4 linked regions of the Saccharomyces cerevisiae S288C genome follow. Changing the gene in region 1 together with any one later gene gives a genetic interaction. Each region holds a gene or a part of one and is shown on either strand. Other genes may lie near its edges. The genes, in order: ARX1, POM34, NUP42 and ECM1.

What was found.
Region 2: mutations in ARX1 (region 1) and POM34 together harm fitness more than expected from each alone (negative genetic interaction), as found in Saccharomyces cerevisiae (6 studies listed by BioGRID, with this or other methods).
Region 3: mutations in ARX1 (region 1) and NUP42 impair growth when combined (synthetic growth defect), as found in Saccharomyces cerevisiae (5 studies listed by BioGRID, with this or other methods).
Region 4: mutations in ARX1 (region 1) and ECM1 together harm fitness more than expected from each alone (negative genetic interaction), as found in Saccharomyces cerevisiae (5 studies listed by BioGRID, with this or other methods).

Annotation. Positions count from the first base shown.
Region 1 is NC_001136.10:654,930-661,301, reverse strand, and holds ARX1 (putative hydrolase), read left to right. Parts: upstream 1-3,834; coding exon 3,835-5,616; downstream 5,617-6,372. Other genes in the region: SPO71 (Spo71p), read left to right, coding at 1-129; STE5 (Ste5p), read right to left, coding at 199-2,952; YDR102C (uncharacterized protein), read left to right, coding at 3,322-3,654; TVP15 (Tvp15p), read right to left, coding at 5,858-6,289. UniProt on the Saccharomyces cerevisiae protein: Probable metalloprotease involved in proper assembly of pre-ribosomal particles during the biogenesis of the 60S ribosomal subunit. Accompanies the pre-60S particles to the cytoplasm.
Region 2 is NC_001144.5:175,960-181,389, reverse strand, and holds POM34 (Pom34p), read left to right. Parts: upstream 1-1,783; coding exon 1,784-2,683; downstream 2,684-5,430. Other genes in the region: PSR2 (putative phosphatase), read right to left, coding at 1-1,102; MEU1 (S-methyl-5-thioadenosine phosphorylase), read right to left, coding at 2,769-3,782; PML1 (Pml1p), read left to right, coding at 3,974-4,588; BRE2 (Bre2p), read right to left, coding at 4,646-5,430. UniProt on the Saccharomyces cerevisiae protein: Functions as a component of the nuclear pore complex (NPC).
Region 3 is NC_001136.10:841,934-848,076, reverse strand, and holds NUP42 (FG-nucleoporin NUP42), read left to right. Parts: upstream 1-3,215; coding exon 3,216-4,508; downstream 4,509-6,143. Other genes in the region: YDR194W-A (uncharacterized protein), read right to left, coding at 1-6; MSS116 (ATP-dependent RNA helicase), read left to right, coding at 131-2,125; NAD-dependent histone deacetylase HST4, read right to left, coding at 4,628-5,740; RVB1 (RuvB family ATP-dependent DNA helicase pontin), read left to right, coding at 6,082-6,143. UniProt on the Saccharomyces cerevisiae protein: Functions as a component of the nuclear pore complex (NPC).
Region 4 is NC_001133.9:34,717-37,647, forward strand, and holds ECM1 (Ecm1p), read left to right. Parts: upstream 1-1,792; coding exon 1,793-2,431; downstream 2,432-2,931. Other genes in the region: BDH1 ((R,R)-butanediol dehydrogenase), read left to right, coding at 439-1,587; CNE1 (calnexin), read left to right, coding at 2,748-2,931. UniProt on the Saccharomyces cerevisiae protein: Pre-ribosomal factor involved in 60S ribosomal protein subunit export from the nucleus.

The sequences.
Region 1 (6,372 bases):
GGCAAGTCAATGGTTTTCATGGCAAGATCAAGACAGGAAAGAGATCTTTGGGTAATGTCTATTTACTATGAACTTGAAAGACTAAGAAGAACTGCGTCCACTTCAAATTCACGGAATCAAACTATGTAACAATATGTAGTTACGAAACGTTTGGCGGGATGCTTTCTTTTTATTATTGCATAAAATTTAGTGTATACTCTATATATAATCCATATGGAGGGGACAGTTGTTATTACCGCTCTCTATAAGACTCGAGAATGAACTGCGTCTGGTTATGCCATCGATTCCTTTATCCATATCACTAAGTAATAATACTGGCATATCATTTTCATTTTCATTTTCATTAGTACCTTCCTCCTCAGAATGAAGTGAAAATCTAATATTAGGAATCAGAGCTGGCTGTACTGAAGAAGCGACAGTTTCTAAGTTTTCTATATTGCTATGTTCACCCTCAGTGAGAAGGTTTCTGTCATTCACCATATTTGCGGTAGCATTTTCATTATCAAATGGAGAATCAATATGAATAGTAGTTGTAGATTCAGCATCCGACAGTGATCCTGAACTATTATCAAGTTCATTATCGGTCGAATCATCATTATCCTCTTCGTCATCGTCATCATGTTCATCAAAACTTAGACCGAAACTGTAGCAAAGAGTTTCTAAAACAAAAGTCCAGGAGCTGGCCTCGACTAGTTCATCAATTTTATCACTGTAGTCAACGTTCAAATAGCCCACCTTAATCTTCAATTCATTGGGCCTTCTTCTTCCAAAACTTGTAAAGCATCTGTAATCTTGAAATAGTATGGATTTTTTTGCTTCCATATTACTATTTGATACAGCAACAATACCCAAATGTTCATGAATATTTTCGGGATATAGAGTATTTTTCAACCAAATAGGTGAAAATTGTGTCGAGGAACTCTTTGATTTGAGATTTGAGATGGAATCTAGTGAATCTATCTTGTGTAATACCGATCCATAGTCCAGAACATAATTATTTCGATCAACGAAACAAAACTGCAAACGCGCAAATTTAATGGTTAAAGCTTTTAGACTGTTATAAACAACAATTAAACTGTCTTCTTCCTTCAATTTCGTAAAATCGATCTGTAAGATTATTGCCAAATTATCAGGTTTTTCTCGTTTAAGGGAAAGAATTGAGCTTATCGTGGTTAGAACAGATTGTATACTGTCGACAGTACTCTGCCTAGAACATTCTCCTGAATTTAAGGTGAATCCCCTCCTTATGATTACAGTATCATTATCGTGCACATTTCCAACTTCAACAACTTTGTTAGGATTGATTAAACCTAGAAAGGTACTCGTCTCGTGCCTACCATTACCAACATCTTTTGAAAAGTTCTTTATAATGGGAAGAATAGGCAGGGTCGAAGTGATATTGTCCTCATTGAATACAAAATCCTGATTCAATATACCTGATATCCATTTCTGTACAGTTGTGCTTTCGTCAGAATTTATATTCTGAACAATGTAAAGATCTGATAAATCGGCGCAATGTTGTTTATTTAAGGTGCATTTGAGTACTGAAGCTTCGAGTGTAGTCATTCTCAAGTTGGCAATAGGTGTAAATACTTCTAAATTCTTTAGTCTAATTTCCAAAACATCAACATCGTTATCCACTTCTGCTATTACAAATGCGTCTTCAAATAAGAAACACCAGCATTGTATATATCTCTGACCATCTTTGGAAATCATCAATTTGTCTACCAACCTTAGTAATCCATAGTCCCCGTCTATTCTCCAATCCTGCAATTCTTCCTGGAAATTGTTCAAAAGAATTTGAATAAAATATGACCTTAACAGCGGCAACGTTGTTTTGGTTTCGTCATCCTTTGCTCTTACCGAATTGGAAACAGCAGAAATAGAATCATTAGCTGACAACGCTACAGAGGTGTCTGCTAAGATAGAGTTTGCTCCGGACGGAATTCTTCTGTGCCCCAGGGGTGAATGTAAAAATGTATAGTTTGATTTTTTTTGTGGAATTTGGTTTCTTTCCTTGGGGGGTGCAGCCAATATGAGATTTGGGTTTAGACTTGGAGCTTGAGAATATATCGTTTGTCTTTCAACAGGTGTATAGGATAACCCAAAAGGAGGCAAGAGTGGTGAATAAGGAGGAAAGCGGGACTGAGGTGTGATTGATAACTCAGAATCAGGAATCTTATGAATCAAAAAATCAGAAATTAGAATATCCTTTAGTTCATCATTTTCTGGAATGCATTGAACGGCTTTGTTAGTATCTTTTTTACATTTGGTACAAAAAGGAAATAGCGCACGAACGTCTGCCTTTGAAGTGGTGCCAAAAGAGATAATAAGACATTCTTGGTGACTTAAGTGGCCACATGCAAGCTCTATAATTTTCTCTCCCTTTCTTCTGTTAGAAATAGGCTCGTCACATAACGTACAAGAAGCATTCAAAAAGGATTTTTTAATAGAGGTTCTTTGTATTGGATAGCCAAATGGAGCGACCTTGGGTGGTATATTATCTGATAAATTTTCGGCCCTTGGGGGCTCATTTGCTCGGGATAGGTTACTATTACTTGCGTGAAAGAGATTGGAATTAGGTCTTGGCAAAGACGATGTTCTGTGAGGGTGTTGTGGCAAATAATCAGTGGAAACCGTAGAAGGTGTATTCATTAGGTTACCGTCTTCATTGCCAGAAGAGTTTGAAGAAGTGACCCTAGATTTGGGTGAGAACGAAAATGTAGAGGAGGAAATAGGAGAAGGTGAGAATCTTTTCTTTTTAGCACTACTTCTTTGGAACCTGGCTAACTTTTCCGTCCATTTTTTTCCTCTTGACAATGGGGATAGAGTACTGGGCTTCTCTAGCTCTATTATTTGGTTGGGAGTTCTCGACAAGGTACCACTATATTGTGTCGAGCTACCAAAATTGTGAAAAGGGGAAACTATATTGTCTGTAGGAGTTTCCATCATTTAAAAGTTGTTTCCGCTGTATCCTGTATCTTCCTTTTTTAGCGCGGATGCTAGATGGGTTAAAACAGTTTTAAAATATTTTCAAATTACTTTTTTATGCCTTTCTTTTGTCGTCAACTTTTCGAGGAAATTCTCGGTATTTTCTTTAGCTACTATCGCCTTTCATATTTTGATGCAGAAAAGTACATGATGTGTAAATTAACAAGCTACATATCGCCGCACCCAAAAAAAAAAAAGAAAAGAAGGGAAATTGTTCAAAATTATGACAGGTTACCTATGGACATGTGTCGTCTAATCACTACCTTTATATTTTTTAATTAATTCATGTGCACAGGCCTGCTTTCTACTATTGAGCAATACGCCTTCTAAATGACTCTCCTACTTCAAAAATGTATCAGAGTAGAACTGCGGAAAGATCCAATATTTAACGCTTCTTCTTCACTCGAAATATTTCTGTCAGTTTTAGAATCTGTTATATATCCCTTTAAAGGAAACTTGATACTTCTAGATTTTCATCTTGTCGATGTTCAAACAACGTGTTATCAGAGAAACAGCTCTATGAGAAATCAGCTGATGTCAGTATTCTGTCAGTCACTTCGTGAATTTACATTGACTGCTCTTTCGTGCAATTCATACTGTATTATTATAGTTGCAACTAGATGGCAAAAAATTGATAATGCCCTAAAAATGACAGGCCGGTAACCCTAAGCTTTTTTTTACCCGGAGAGGGTCATGCCTCTGTGAAGCTTTTTTTGCTTTCTGAAAAAATTTTACCGAAGTAAAGAAAAATTTCAGCAGAAGAGATGAGATGAGCTAAAGCATCGTGTTATTCAAAATACTTTTAAGAAAAAACCCGACCCGACTAATATTGCTAAAACTATCATGGCTCTAGCTATCTCCCACGAGGATACTCAGATTTTGCTAAAGGACAAAAATATTCTACAGGAATCGGTCTTGAACAAATACAGAACTGCTGGACAAATCGCACAAACTGCTTTGAAATATGTTACTTCTTTGATCAATGATTCATATCACTCTAAGACCACACAGCGCCAATTAACCGTGCCAGAGCTATGTTTGCTTACCGATTCTTTTATTTTGACCCGGTTGGAACAATATTATAAAAACAAAGTTAATGAAAGAGGTATTGCCATTCCAACCACTATTGATATCGACCAAATTTCTGGTGGATGGTGCCCCGAAATAGATGATACTCAAAATTTGTTAAACTGGAATAAGGGGAAAGACTCCACTTTTGCATCATCTGTCACTGGGACTTTGAGACCGGGGGATTTAGTCAAGATTACACTAGGTGTTCATATTGATGGTTACACCTCTGAAGTTTCTCATACTATGGTTATTTACCCCGTTGATGAAACCAAACCTATTCTTCAACCCACTGGGCCACTACTAGGTGGTAAAGCGGATGCTGTAGCTGCTGCTCACATTGCTATGGAAACAGTTGTTGCTTTATTAGCCTGTGCTCTGACTCCAGAAAAGCTTCCTGCCTCACTGGGAGGAACTTCAAGTGGTATCACAGGCCAATTGATTAGAACTATAGTGGATACTATTGCCAGATCTTATAACTGTGGCGTTGTTCCTGGTTCTCGTGTAAGAAGGATTAGAAGATTCCTGGCAGGCCAAAACGAAGGTATTGTTGCCGAAAGGGAATATAAGGGTGTTGTTTGGACAGAGTCCCATCAAGAAGCAGATTTGCTATCTAATACTGATGCCAAGGATTTAACAGTGGTAGATCGTGGACAATCGACTCCATTCACTAATGTTTCTGCTATTCCAAGTGATGATTTCGTTGTTCAATCAGGTGAAGTGTATTTAATTGATTTGAAAATGGCATCTTTGGAGCATTGTACCAAAAAGGGTTTAGTAACTTTAGAAACCGTTGACTCTTACACAGGTAAATCTCATAAGGCTGGAGAATTGATTGCAAGACCCGGTGCATATGTTAGAGATTTTGCTCAAACCCATATTCTTAAATTAAAAACTTCTAGACAATTATTAACTAAAATCGATAAACAAGGCGTTTATCCATTCAAGTTATCTCATTTATCTTCTAACTTTCCTTTCGTTCACGAAAATGAAGAAGAACTCCAAAGCTTAAAGAAAGATTTGAAATCATTTAGACTTGGGATGAGTGAGATTTCCAACAACTACTTATGTGTGGAAAGTCCAATACAAATTGCTAGATGGGTTCCATGGGACCATATTTTAAAGGCTACCAATCCAAACGGTAATTTAAGTTATGATGCAACCTCTACATTAACATTACCTGGGCATGAGTTACCTTTACCAAAATTGGGTGTTTCAGCCATCAAGCTTAAATCCTTAATGAATTCAACCAAGGAATCGATTTCTTTACCAGTTGCTCGTGAATGTAATACCATCGTATTATGTGACTCTAGTGTAAGTACAACGGACAGACCCGAATTATTGAGATTAACTGGTGGTTCTAAGACCTGTCAACCGAGCTGGATTCACTCTCAGCACGAATTAAATCCACAAGATTCAATTGTTCAAGGGATCTTTCAATTAGCTACTTTGGCCAAGGATAAGAGGTTCGGTCTATTATTAAAGGAAACGCAGCCAATGAAGCAGAAGAGTGTTGAGACATCAAATGGCGGAGTTGAAGAAACCATGAAAATGTAGGAAACTTCATCATTTCTAAAGCTAGTATATAAATAATATAAGTATATCATAAAATGTAAAATAGAATATTATAAAAAAAGTCAACCTAGCTGTACTAAAACCGCTTGGTTCATTTGCTCAGAATCTTGCATTATAATTACATTTTATTTGCTATACAGATGAGATGGAAGATTAAATATCTCACGCCTGTTTCGCCATGCTTTTGTAACACCGGCGGATTGAGAGACATGGGCTTCTAATATTAAATCATGTCATCGTCATCGTCGATGTCATCATCACCAATTGACAAAGATGAGCCGGGTGCTCTGAAGTTAGCAGGTTCTTCCACAAACTGGGAAAAATGAAAAACAATAAAGGCAACCCCTAAAATAAAAGTAAACATTCCCGCCAATATGTTGTAGATACCGCCGAAGCTGATTATCAGACTTAGTAAAATATAAGATAAACCCCTTCCAAGAAAACTAAAGTAAAAGGAAGCATACCTGTAAAGATTTGACGGAACCTTGAACTCCAGATAGACGATAGGTACGGAGAGTGCCAGTCCGTAAACTGCCAAGAGGAAGACGTTTAAATTGGTGAAAATATACGTCAATTGTGAAAGGGCAGCAATAATGTCTATGCAGCCAATTGATATATTTGCAATCTTGAAGAATTTTGGAGGAATAACTGACATCCTTTCGTTTGTGATCCCTTGTGGTTATTTGACTTTGTTTATTGTCCTCTCTTGTAAGACATACATATTAATGGTCATAGTTT
Region 2 (5,430 bases), on another chromosome or scaffold:
CATGAGTATCAGAGAACCAAGAAGATATCGGAACAGCATGTTGCGGATGAAAGATGTAAGAGGCCGGCGAATTATCTAAGATGATTGTTTCGGACAATGGTCTTCCGATCTGCGATAAGTTCTTGATGTAGTTACCTTCGTAGTTATAACAAGCTTCTCTGAATAATCGATGATGGATGGTTCCATTAGGGTCCAACGTATCTAAAAGGGGGTTTGCATACCTCGAAACACTTGCCGTGAACACAACAACTTCGTATAGTTGACTCACCCTGTTCAAGAACTCATCGACGCCTGGCCTCTTAATAACATAGACATTGTGAACTTGATCATCGATTTCGACGGGCAAAACGAAATCAGCTGAATGCATATATTTAAAGGAAGAATGTACCAAAGTTTCGTCTAGATCCAATATCAGACATTTTTTCTGTTGAAATTCTTGCAACTTGGGTGGTAGCAGAGTGTCGTATCCGGGGGCATGGTACTGGTCTGGTTGCAAATGCGTCAGGTCAGAGAAGTCCTCCTCCGTTGTAGGTATCAAGTTTAAATCATTATCAGGACTGCTGGCGACATATTGTGGATTCATATCTTCTTGACCCACCTGATACAGACCCTGTTGTGGTGGCGCCTCGTCATTAATACTGGAATTTCTATCTGCGTCAACGTTATATTCATGAACGACATGGTCTTGCTTTTCTTTTGCTTCGTCATCTTCTTCTTCTTCTTCTCCGGCATTGTTAACCTCCGTCATTTCTACGTCTCCTTCATTATAATCTTCATATTCTTTCTCCTCATCGTACGAGTTGTTGGAGTGATCTCTTGATAAAGGTGCTAGTTTTCCATTGCCGCTATTCCCATTCTCCTGCATTGTCTTGGAACCCGCATTGCTGCCTGAATCGGAACTAGACAAAAGGATCTCCGGTGTGGAATATTGCATCTTGTCGCCGTTTGGAGTAGCCTTCTGCTTACGACCCTGAGTTTGAGCTTTGTTTGAACTGTGCTTACGGTTGCGGTTGCGGTTGTGATTAGTTTCTGGTGGTTGGCGTTGACGATGTGTTTTGGAAGTATCTGAAGAACAGCACAGTATATTTGCTATAAATCCCATCTGATGATGATCTGAAAAAGCTCCCTAAAACAGACAGAGAAGCACTCTTCACTCAGTTTTTATTGCCAAATAAGTGGAAAATTAAAACGAAAGAACTCAAAAGCAGCACTGCGCTCGAAGAAAGATATATCTTAGCTTAAATCCTCTCCAAAAGGGGAGAACGAAGAATATGTGTAAATTAAGCGATGCTTCGTGGGTTTCTTTTACGCGCTGCGAAAAAGATAATCAAATCTCTAAATTTTAGAAATATAAGCCAGTCGGTAGCCCCCACAAGTCAATTATATATGTCAAAGTTCGTGGCACTGTGGACTGCTTTCATAAAGCTTCTCTTTATCTGTTCCTTAGACTGTGAATACTGAGGTTTTCTAAAAAAAAGCAAAAAAAAAAAAAGAGGGTCCAAACCTATTAACTTCAGGGTTTAAGTATCTTTTTTGTAGGTTATAATGTTCTTTTTATAAACCTTTCTCAGGTTATAATAATATTTCTCAGGTCTAATTAGGGCTAAAGTCTAAAGAAAAATGAAAAAAAAAAAAAATGAAATTTGTGCTAATAGTAATAATGATAGAAATAATAACAATTAATAAGATGGTTATGATGAACAAAAAGATTTATATTATAAGAACTTGACAATATACAGACTTTTAATATATCCGCAGAGGCAAAAAAATAATAGAGGGAACTATGAAGATTCAGGCGGGCCAATTGGGCCTGGACGATAATGACGTGCCGGGACCATTGCCGGACACAGACAGCAAACCCTCATCACAATCACAAAATGACACACCAATGTTTAAATTGGGCAACTTTGAAAGTCCTGTGCTCAAGGAGCTATCACGGCGAACGGTAAACAAGGAAATGGAGACGCAGAGAATTATGACAAACGTAATTGCGTTTGCGTTCTGGAACCTGCTGGTGAAGTTCATCAAGTTCTTTTGGAACAACACTCATGTTGGGAGACAGTTTTGCAACCGGCTATCCAGAATCCATCTGTACATGTTGACATTTCACACGTTAAAGAAGGCTAACATCATATATCACACCACGTTCAGTTGGTTGAATGCAGAACTTCTTGACTACTTGTTCCACCTATTAATCTCGCTCAATATACTGTTTTCTCTTTGGAAGCTCTTATCCACCGTCAAAGTAAGTGATTTGAATCTCACTGACAGGCAAAAGAAGCTCCTGGGGGTAGACATGCAATCATCTGTCGATACTGGGTTGCAGCCACAACACCCCCACTACGTATCCACTTCTAAGATCAGCCAAATGGCACAGAACAAAACACATATTCCTCAAACAAATCTCAAAAATCATCCAGCATATCTCTTCAAAGGCTTAGAGACGCCTTTGAAAGCAAGACAAAGGGAAATGGCGGAGGAACAGACGAAACTACAATCTCAATCCTTACACACAAAGAATGTATTTGGCACACTGCAGAGGCATAGCGGTATCAGTAGCACATTAGTGAGCGCTAACAATGACAATAACTCGCCGCATACCCCTGTAACTAGGAAGGGCTACATTCCAAGTAGCAAATATGCATATATGATGAACTCACAGTCCCCAAGGGGGAAAATATAAAAACAGCAAAAAAACATTTAATACTTTCCATAGCTATATATGTTTTCTCTCCTATTTATATTTTACATATGATTAGCGGCAACCATTACCAATAGTTTGGAAATAAGTATCTTAGTCTTTCTAAGGTTTCCTTGGACATAGCCTCTGGTTTGGTAGAGATAGATTTCTTGATGGAACCGCGCAGCCCATCGCCAGTATGCATGAACTCTGGGATTTCCTTGGCCATTGAGACGATGATCTTAGAAGCTAAAATATTTGCATTGCGCCCATTATTCGTCAAATTACCAATAACGGTTTCTACGGTAACAGGTTCTGCCTCATCTCTCCATGCGTCGTAATCGGTAGACATACAAATCATCTGGTAAGGCAGCTCACACTCACGCGCCAATTTGGCTTCTGGAATAACACTCATGTTAATAACATGGCCACCAAACATTCTGTACATCTTGGATTCAGCGCGCGTGGAGAATTGTGGGCCTTCCATACACACAACGGTCATATCCTTGTCGTAATGCAAATGGCACGGTTCTTCGGATTCAGGATTTGTTATCTCGTTCTTGAATTGATAGATATACTCTGCGAATTTTTGAGAGAACGGCTGTCCGAAACCAACGTGACCTACCAAGCCTTCATCGTTGAAATATGAAGAATGTCTTATGCCTTTAGTTCTGTCGATTATTTGCTGTGGTAACACAAAATCTCTAGGCTTTATATGGGGTTGTAAAGACCCCACGGCACTAAAAGAAAGAACGGCTTTACAATTTAAGTTCTTTAAGGCCGCCATGTTTGCTCTAAATGGGACTTTAGTGGGTGGGTATTCGTGGTTAATACCGTGTCTGGCTATGAACGCAACGTGAAAGTGGCTGTTAGTTCCTACGAACTGAGAGATTGTGACAGGAGACGATGTGGTACCCCATGGTGTTACCATGGGTGGAAGCAAAGCGATGGGCTCCAGACAGTCAAGGTTATATAAACCTGTACCACCAATAATCCCTAAATCAACAGTTCCTTCGAATATGCTCGGTAATTCTGAGTTCGTCATAACTTTGCTTAGTTTTAATCTCTTAGCAACAGAAAATGTATTCTTAATCCTGTTCATTTAATCTCATCTCATCTCGAAATAGTTTTTTTTCATTCACACGTTCATCTTTTTTCATTTTTCTTTTTCTTTTTTTTGCTTTCTTTTCACATAATTGACAATAAAGGCGTCCTACAATAGAAGCCTTGGTATAACGTAAAAGCCACAGCAAGCATGGTGTACTTCATTTCCGACTCCATTTGCGTATAGACATGTTTCACAGACGCAAAAGACCTTATAACACCAGAAATTATGGCCATGATGACAAGAAATTCAAATCGCAGTACATCGATATTATGCCAGACTTCAGCCCTTCCGGTCTGTTAGAGCTGGAGTCGAATAACAAAGAAGGTATAGCTTTAAAACATGTGGAGCCGCAGGACGCTATTTCTCCAGATAACTACATGGATATGCTAGGACTGGAGGCGCGAGATAGGACTATGTATGAACTAGTGATATACAGAAAGAATGACAAGGATAAAGGACCGTGGAAAAGATACGATTTGAACGGCAGGAGCTGTTATTTAGTCGGTCGTGAACTGGGCCACAGTCTGGATACAGATCTCGACGATAGAACGGAGATCGTTGTCGCAGACATTGGTATACCCGAAGAAACATCCTCAAAGCAGCACTGCGTCATCCAGTTCAGGAACGTTCGTGGCATTTTGAAATGTTATGTAATGGATTTGGATTCGTCCAATGGGACATGTTTGAACAACGTTGTAATTCCTGGAGCGAGATATATAGAGCTACGAAGTGGTGACGTCCTTACACTTTCAGAATTTGAAGAAGATAACGATTACGAACTCATCTTCATGAATGTATAACCATATATAAGAAACACACTTTCAGTGTGTTTTAATTATTCTTCTTTGAATGCTGCTTTATTGCTGTAGGGCAATTTGCTCCAACTCATCGATTATATCCCATACTATGTCTTCAGCTATCTGTTCTTTGTACAATGTATCCAGTGTGTTAACTTTTGAATTCCCGTCAACACAGTAAGCTGATCGGATTTGATCGAGGTACTCCAATTTATCTTCTTCACTAATTATCCTCGCTGTTCCACCGTTAAAACAGCTGATTGTTGGATAGTAACCCAGTTTGTTATTATTTACGTATTTGTTTCTGAGTATCAATCCCTTCTTTTTCTTTTGTTGCTGCTTTTTCTTTTTGGCACTGGTTGTGTTTTTATCATTGGACTCATCACGAGCTTCACCATGTTGCCAATATCCAAGATAGAACTTTTCATTGTATTGTAACTCACTGAACGGTGGTAACAACGGCTTTAAATTTTCAAATGCTTTGCCTAGGTACTTACCATTTTGAAAGATAGCAAGATATGAATCCTCTAACTGGTAATAGTCTTGCCTTTCCCTCTTATCAGAAGAATAATATTCCGGTTTCGTTGTCTTTACATAGTCCGTTGCCTCAAAGAACAACTGGTTCTTATACCTGATGGCGATTTGATCGCGGACGACGTCGTTATATTCAATATCTTCTAATAGCGCCCTTTGAAATTCTTTGTTCGTTGTCTCTTGTTTTAATTTTTTCCTTGAAGGCCCATTCTCAGCATCTTCTCTCCATGGTTCATTCATCGTATCCATATGGGAGTTCAGTGCAAAAATTCTTCTTTTGGTAAACTCCTTAGCTTGTTTGATTTGTGTAT
Region 3 (6,143 bases), 190 kb from region 1:
TTTCATTCTCCGTCTGTAGTGATATTATAGAAAGAATAAAATTTTCCTATAAAAAGAAGGGAAGTATTGATGGCCACTATGGTGTCTCAGAGTGGCAAGAAAATACCAGAGTTGCACGTTAGGCTGATAAATGTTGACCTCTATATTGATAAAAGGTCGCACACCTGTTCTTGCAAGCAGAAATTTATTAGCAGCTCTCTCGAATTGCAACCATATTACTTGGGCTGTTTCAAGAAGATTATACAATGATGGAAACAGAGATCAAAGAAATTTTGGTAGGAATCAGAGAAACAACAACAGTAACAGGTATAGAAACTCCCGTTTCAATTCTCGCCCAAGGACAAGGTCTAGAGAAGACGATGATGAAGTGCACTTTGATAAGACCACTTTTTCCAAACTAATTCACGTCCCAAAAGAAGATAATAGTAAAGAAGTAACGCTGGACTCTTTACTGGAGGAAGGAGTCCTTGATAAAGAAATACATAAAGCCATTACCAGGATGGAATTTCCCGGTTTAACTCCTGTACAGCAAAAGACTATCAAACCAATATTATCCAGTGAAGACCATGATGTTATCGCAAGAGCTAAAACCGGTACAGGTAAGACATTTGCCTTCTTGATTCCAATTTTCCAGCATTTGATAAATACGAAGTTCGATTCTCAATATATGGTAAAAGCTGTTATTGTCGCACCAACAAGAGATTTGGCCTTGCAAATCGAAGCAGAGGTGAAAAAAATCCACGATATGAATTATGGCTTGAAAAAGTACGCTTGTGTCTCTTTAGTTGGTGGTACTGACTTCAGGGCAGCTATGAATAAAATGAATAAGTTGAGACCAAACATTGTAATTGCCACTCCAGGGAGATTGATTGATGTTTTGGAAAAATACTCCAACAAATTTTTTAGGTTCGTAGATTACAAAGTGCTAGATGAAGCTGACAGATTGCTAGAAATTGGATTCAGGGATGATTTAGAAACTATTTCTGGTATTTTAAATGAAAAGAACTCCAAATCAGCCGATAATATCAAGACTTTGTTGTTCTCTGCTACTCTGGACGACAAAGTACAAAAGTTGGCAAACAATATCATGAATAAAAAAGAATGTCTCTTTTTAGACACAGTAGATAAGAATGAACCTGAAGCACATGAAAGAATTGATCAGTCTGTCGTCATTTCAGAAAAGTTTGCCAATAGTATATTTGCTGCTGTGGAGCATATAAAGAAACAAATAAAGGAAAGAGATTCTAATTACAAAGCCATTATTTTTGCACCAACTGTTAAATTCACATCCTTTTTGTGCAGTATTTTAAAGAATGAATTTAAGAAAGATTTACCAATTTTGGAATTTCATGGTAAAATTACTCAAAATAAAAGAACAAGTTTAGTTAAAAGATTCAAAAAAGATGAATCCGGTATTTTGGTTTGTACGGATGTGGGAGCCCGTGGTATGGATTTCCCAAACGTCCACGAAGTTTTGCAAATTGGTGTTCCATCTGAGTTGGCTAATTATATTCATAGAATTGGTAGAACAGCCAGAAGTGGGAAAGAAGGATCTTCTGTGCTATTCATTTGTAAAGATGAATTGCCATTTGTTAGAGAGTTGGAAGATGCAAAAAATATAGTCATTGCCAAACAAGAAAAATATGAGCCCAGTGAAGAAATAAAATCTGAGGTCCTAGAGGCAGTGACCGAAGAACCGGAAGACATATCAGATATTGTAATAAGTTTAATCTCATCCTACAGATCCTGTATCAAGGAATACAGGTTTTCTGAAAGGCGCATACTTCCTGAAATTGCTTCCACTTATGGTGTACTGTTAAATGATCCTCAATTAAAGATTCCAGTATCCAGAAGGTTTTTAGATAAATTAGGTTTGAGCCGTAGTCCAATTGGTAAGGCAATGTTTGAAATTAGAGACTATAGTAGTAGAGATGGAAATAACAAGTCCTACGATTATGATGATGATTCAGAAATTTCTTTCAGAGGCAACAAAAACTATAATAATAGGAGCCAAAATAGAGATTACGATGACGAACCGTTTAGACGCAGCAACAACAATAGACGCTCATTCTCCCGTAGTAATGATAAAAATAATTACTCCAGTAGAAACAGCAACATATATTAGAAAAGATAAAAAAGGAGGACCAAGAGATGTGGGTTGTATTTTAAATAACAATTCCTCTATTAAGACGCCTGTATTTTAGACCCCATCTTGATTCAATACTTTCACGTGTAAATACCTAGTATATAAATATTAAACAAAAATTTTTTTTCTTCTCCTATTCTCTTAAAATGATAACTATACGAAGATCCTACTGGTATATTTATTCGTCAATGCTTATTTACGACCGGTACCTCCATTCTTACTTTCGCTCTTCCTCCTCTCAAAGGAAAAGTAATTCTAACATTGTAATTCTTATTTAAACGGATGGAAGAAAGCTTTTGAGAATTTACTTGAAAAGTCAGGGTGTCTTAGGCGATTGATCACGGACATAGCCATATTACGAAAACTTCATTCTGAATATTGCCAACGAGACAATCGTGGGCTTGGTAATCGTTGAAAAATTTTCACATATTTTATGAACAGCTGAGCCTATTAACAATGAAAATAGTCTATACGATAGTCCAGAACTGAATAACAGTGTCAATCACTTTTTTTTTTATGATTAAATCCTAGTTAAAGTGCCGCTCTGCGAAAGAAAAATCAATAAATACCATTTGTTAGTGATCTAGCAATAATATCAATGACATCTTGTCTTATCTTAAAAATAAACAAAAAATTCTTTACAGTGTACTGAGCATTAATCTGGCTACGGCCTGGAGGGAAATTATGTCTTATACGAATTTTGCTCCGGCAATTCTATTTACGCTGTTTAGCTTATCATGCGATTTCAACCTTCTTTATATAGTAAATTAGCTTCGAAATAAAAGTATTCGCGAGAGGACAAGACATGAAACCTAAACCACGACGCTGAAGGTAACGACATCATAATACGTTTCAAAGGGCTAACCTTAATATACTGACATCTAGAAATATATTAATTCTGCATATCAAGAAACACGCCGACTGAGGGTGCAAGGTATTTGAAAAAAAATAGTGAATCAATAGATGAGCGCACAATGTTTAAAGTACTATAACACTGAACTGTTGTACTTTAACGCAAAAGCTCATCAAGCTATCATTAAATTTCGACCCGAGCAACGACTCAACTGTAATGTCAGCTTTCGGTAACCCATTCACGTCGGGTGCTAAGCCTAATCTTTCTAATACAAGTGGTATCAACCCTTTCACAAATAATGCTGCTAGTACCAATAACATGGGAGGAAGTGCATTTGGAAGACCTAGTTTTGGAACAGCAAACACAATGACAGGAGGAACCACCACTTCAGCATTTGGAATGCCCCAGTTTGGTACCAATACAGGCAATACTGGCAATACGTCAATTAGCGCTTTTGGGAACACCAGTAATGCGGCTAAACCGTCAGCATTTGGAGCACCAGCATTTGGTTCTAGCGCCCCCATCAATGTTAATCCGCCTTCTACTACGTCAGCATTTGGAGCACCGTCATTTGGATCAACAGGTTTTGGTGCTATGGCGGCGACAAGTAATCCTTTTGGTAAAAGTCCTGGCTCAATGGGCTCTGCATTTGGTCAACCAGCTTTTGGAGCGAACAAAACTGCTATCCCTTCTAGTTCGGTTAGTAATAGTAATAACTCCGCATTTGGTGCTGCGTCAAACACGCCCTTGACCACAACTTCTCCTTTTGGTTCACTGCAACAAAACGCATCACAAAATGCATCATCTACATCGTCAGCGTTTGGCAAACCGACTTTCGGCGCAGCTACTAATACCCAGTCGCCATTTGGTACTATTCAAAATACAAGTACAAGCAGTGGGACAGGAGTATCCCCATTTGGCACATTTGGAACTAATAGTAATAACAAATCACCTTTTAGTAATCTACAGAGCGGAGCAGGCGCTGGTTCTTCGCCGTTTGGTACTACAACCTCCAAAGCTAACAACAACAATAACGTGGGCAGTAGCGCATTCGGAACGACGAATAATCAATCTCCTTTTAGCGGAGGTTCTGGGGGCACCTTTGGTTCTGCTTCTAACCTCAATAAAAATACCAATGGCAACTTTCAATCTTCTTTTGGTAATAAAGGGTTTTCATTCGGAATTACACCACAAAACGATGCCAACAAAGTCTCGCAATCGAACCCTTCATTTGGGCAAACAATGCCAAACACAGATCCGAACATAAGTTTGAAGAGCAATGGTAACGCAACCTCTTTTGGATTTGGACAACAACAGATGAATGCTACTAATGTCAACGCTAATACGGCCACCGGAAAAATTAGATTTGTTCAAGGGTTATCTTCTGAAAAGGACGGTATTCTAGAATTGGCCGATCTCGCAGAGGAAACACTGAAAATATTCAGAGCAAACAAGTTTGAACTAGGCCTTGTCCCTGATATACCTCCACCACCTGCATTGGTTGCATAGTAAGGTCAAAGAAAAACATACAAAATGGTAACTTAAACAATATATATGAATATATATATATATCTAATGAAAAATGCATTAATTTTATCTCCAACCTTTTTTGGTAGGACAAATACTTTCTATAATAATGAGGTAACATGCTGACAATCTCCCAGTACAACTAGGTCTACAAATTTCAAAGAGTCTAGCACATTCTTAGGCGGCATACTGGTGTTTAAATATAACACAATACCCCTGTTTGCATGGACTTTGGCCGCAAACTGCCTGCAAATATTTTTCACTCCGGGAATCTTCAAACTCGTTCCAACAATAATCAAACAATCAATTCTTTTCTTTAAGTCATTATTGGCAATTTCACCGATAAAATCACCTTCAGGGTGGACCTCATTGTATAAAATTACTCTTGGACGCAACTTGCCCACACCAGTAGATCTTAAGCCTGCCATTTTTCTAACTGTTTCATATTCTTCACATTGTGGACATGACGGTATGATTTCAGTCCGAGAATCAAATTTGTCGTCGCATTTGAACAGTTCAGGGTCAAAAGGTTTGATATTCAGACATTTATTGCATTCCATGTGTTTTATGCTTCCGTGTAATTGTACTGTACTGGGTATTGGCTTCGCCAGAGGCACATTAGTTGATAAATGAGGTAATTGTGTATCTAAACCGTCAATATTCTGCGTGTACAGTCTCAATAGCCTGCCATCCCTAGCAAACTCATTGAGCATTTCATGAAATTTTGTAGGTTGGCAATTCTTGGATAATCTGAACAATGACACCATTAACTGATTAAATTTCAAACTCATTGATTCGTCGCCATACACACGATTGTAGTCAAACAAATCTTTCCCAGAGCCGCCGTTCACAGTAGAGAAAATCCCTTCACTGGATCTAAAATCCGGTATACCAGCGGCAACAGATATACCTGCCCCGCTGACTACAACCATTCTTTTGCTATAATTCAGAGCATAGCTAATAAAACCGGCGTCGCGGTCCATATGATGGCGTTGGGATTTGGACAAGTGTGTCGAATCCACGTACGCATCCAGATCAAACACAGAGTTTAACTCAGGCCTATATGACAGTCTAGGTTTCCTGTTACGGACACTTTTTTTCAATTGCGGTAGCAATCTTCTAGGCTTCAAATTCTCATTGCAACGGTTTTCTGTTTGAGGCTTCTTTTCCGCCGTACTTGGTGGGGTGATCGGTAGTACAAATTTTTGCTTCATTTTGTGGTTCTGCTTAGTATTATTTACAGTTTTAAAATACAGTTGTTGCTCTAAAGTATGTAATTCCTAAGCTTTTCCACAACCTTGCTTGCTAAATATTCTAACATGTCACTAAAGTTGCTGTTTTCCCCTTTTAGGAAACGTAATTGATTTTTTGCTCACGTGCTCTGCGGGTAATGGAGAGGTTTTTTAAAATTTTTCAATTTTGTTCAAGGAAGAATATGGCAAAACAAAAGATACATCGTGGTGATGAAGAAGAGATGGATTCATTTAAGAGTACGTATTGAAGGCTGTTAAGTTCTGGGCCTGAATATTTTGAACGTTAAAATAATTGAGTAAATATGGTCGCTATCAGTGAAGTCAAAGAAAATCCTGGCGTAAACAGCAGTAATTCTGGTGCAGT
Region 4 (2,931 bases), on another chromosome or scaffold:
CACGTTCTCGTGTTAATCCCGCGGTCTTCTTGTTTTACTAACTTTTCTTTCTCTCATAGCATTCTCTTGACAGTGTTTTATATACATCATATGTACATTTATCGAGCCAATCGAGGGCAGCAGTTTAACATCAAGCCGGATTTGCTCACGCTACTTTGACCCCTTTTCGTTTCGACGGAGAGAAGAAACCGGTGTTTTCCTATCCTTGCCTATTCTTTCCTCCTTACGGGGTCCTAGCCTGTTTCTCTTGATATGATAATAGGTGGAAACGTAGAAAAAAAAATCGACATATAAAAGTGGGGCAGATACTTCGTGTGACAATGGCCAATTCAAGCCCTTTGGGCAGATGTTGCCCTTCTTCTTTCTTAAAAAGTCTTAGTACGATTGACCAAGTCAGAAAAAAAAAAAAAAAGGAACTAAAAAAAGTTTTAATTAATTATGAGAGCTTTGGCATATTTCAAGAAGGGTGATATTCACTTCACTAATGATATCCCTAGGCCAGAAATCCAAACCGACGATGAGGTTATTATCGACGTCTCTTGGTGTGGGATTTGTGGCTCGGATCTTCACGAGTACTTGGATGGTCCAATCTTCATGCCTAAAGATGGAGAGTGCCATAAATTATCCAACGCTGCTTTACCTCTGGCAATGGGCCATGAGATGTCAGGAATTGTTTCCAAGGTTGGTCCTAAAGTGACAAAGGTGAAGGTTGGCGACCACGTGGTCGTTGATGCTGCCAGCAGTTGTGCGGACCTGCATTGCTGGCCACACTCCAAATTTTACAATTCCAAACCATGTGATGCTTGTCAGAGGGGCAGTGAAAATCTATGTACCCACGCCGGTTTTGTAGGACTAGGTGTGATCAGTGGTGGCTTTGCTGAACAAGTCGTAGTCTCTCAACATCACATTATCCCGGTTCCAAAGGAAATTCCTCTAGATGTGGCTGCTTTAGTTGAGCCTCTTTCTGTCACCTGGCATGCTGTTAAGATTTCTGGTTTCAAAAAAGGCAGTTCAGCCTTGGTTCTTGGTGCAGGTCCCATTGGGTTGTGTACCATTTTGGTACTTAAGGGAATGGGGGCTAGTAAAATTGTAGTGTCTGAAATTGCAGAGAGAAGAATAGAAATGGCCAAGAAACTGGGCGTTGAGGTGTTCAATCCCTCCAAGCACGGTCATAAATCTATAGAGATACTACGTGGTTTGACCAAGAGCCATGATGGGTTTGATTACAGTTATGATTGTTCTGGTATTCAAGTTACTTTCGAAACCTCTTTGAAGGCATTAACATTCAAGGGGACAGCCACCAACATTGCAGTTTGGGGTCCAAAACCTGTCCCATTCCAACCAATGGATGTGACTCTCCAAGAGAAAGTTATGACTGGTTCGATCGGCTATGTTGTCGAAGACTTCGAAGAAGTTGTTCGTGCCATCCACAACGGAGACATCGCCATGGAAGATTGTAAGCAACTAATCACTGGTAAGCAAAGGATTGAGGACGGTTGGGAAAAGGGATTCCAAGAGTTGATGGATCACAAGGAATCCAACGTTAAGATTCTATTGACGCCTAACAATCACGGTGAAATGAAGTAATGACAAAATAATATTTGGGGCCCCTCGCGGCTCATTTGTAGTATCTAAGATTATGTATTTTCTTTTATAATATTTGTTGTTATGAAACAGACAGAAGTAAGTTTCTGCGACTATATTATTTTTTTTTTTCTTCTTTTTTTTTCCTTTATTCAACTTGGCGATGAGCTGAAAATTTTTTTGGTTAAGGACCCTTTAGAAGTATTGAATGTGGGAACAAAGACGACAAAAGGTAGTTTTTTCCTTGACTATACTGGTAAGATATCGTCTAAAACAAAGCATGGCCAAGAAAATATCAAAGAATTCAAGAGCTGCTAGACAATCGGATGCTCTTGAACCAGAGGTAAAGGATTTAAGTGAACTACCTAGAGCTGAAAAAACCGATTTGACTAATATTTTGATTAGAACAGCAGCCAAGAATGAGGCATTGCTGGAAGCAAAGATATCTAAGAAAGCCAATAAAAGTAAGAGGGGCAAGAAGTTAAATAAAAAGGCTCTGGAAGACAAACTGGCCAACTCTATTTCATCCATGGACAGGGATCGTTTAGTGAAGGCCTTGAATTTTACCAATCGTCTGGACGGTAAAATTGCCAAGTCCATTTCTCGTGCCAAGTACATTCAAAATACAAGAAAGGCTGGCTGGGATAGCACCAATGAGACTATAAAAAAAGAGCTGGCTTTTTTGAACGGAGGGTTGTCTGTGCAGGCAAAAAGTGCTAGTGAAGGTAATGCTGAAAAGGAAGATGAGGAGATCCCAGAAGTTTTTGACTCTTTAGCAGAGGATAACACAGTGCAGAAGACTCCTACAAATAGATTCGGTGTCCTGCCAGACGATGTTGAAGAATAGAAAATTTTCATATGAAAGGTCCTAGGAATACACGATTCTTGTACGCATTCTTCTTTTTTCTATCTTCTTTCATTCTTTGTACATTAGATAACATGGTTTTAGCTTAGTTTTATTTTATTTTTTATATATCTGGATGTATACTATTATTGAAAAACTTCATTAATAGTTACAACTTTTTCAATATCAAGTTGATTAAGAAAAAGAAAATTATTATGGGTTAGCTGAAAACCGTGTGATGCATGTCGTTTAAGGATTGTGTAAAAAAGTGAACGGCAACGCATTTCTAATATAGATAACGGCCACACAAAGTAGTACTATGAAATTTTCTGCGTATTTATGGTGGCTGTTTTTGAATCTAGCGTTGGTGAAAGGCACTTCATTGCTATCCAACGTTACATTAGCGGAAGATTCTTTCTGGGAGCATTTTCAGGCTTACACTAATACAAAGCATTTAAACCAAGAGTGGATCACAAGTGAAGCCGTCAACAATGAAGGCTCTA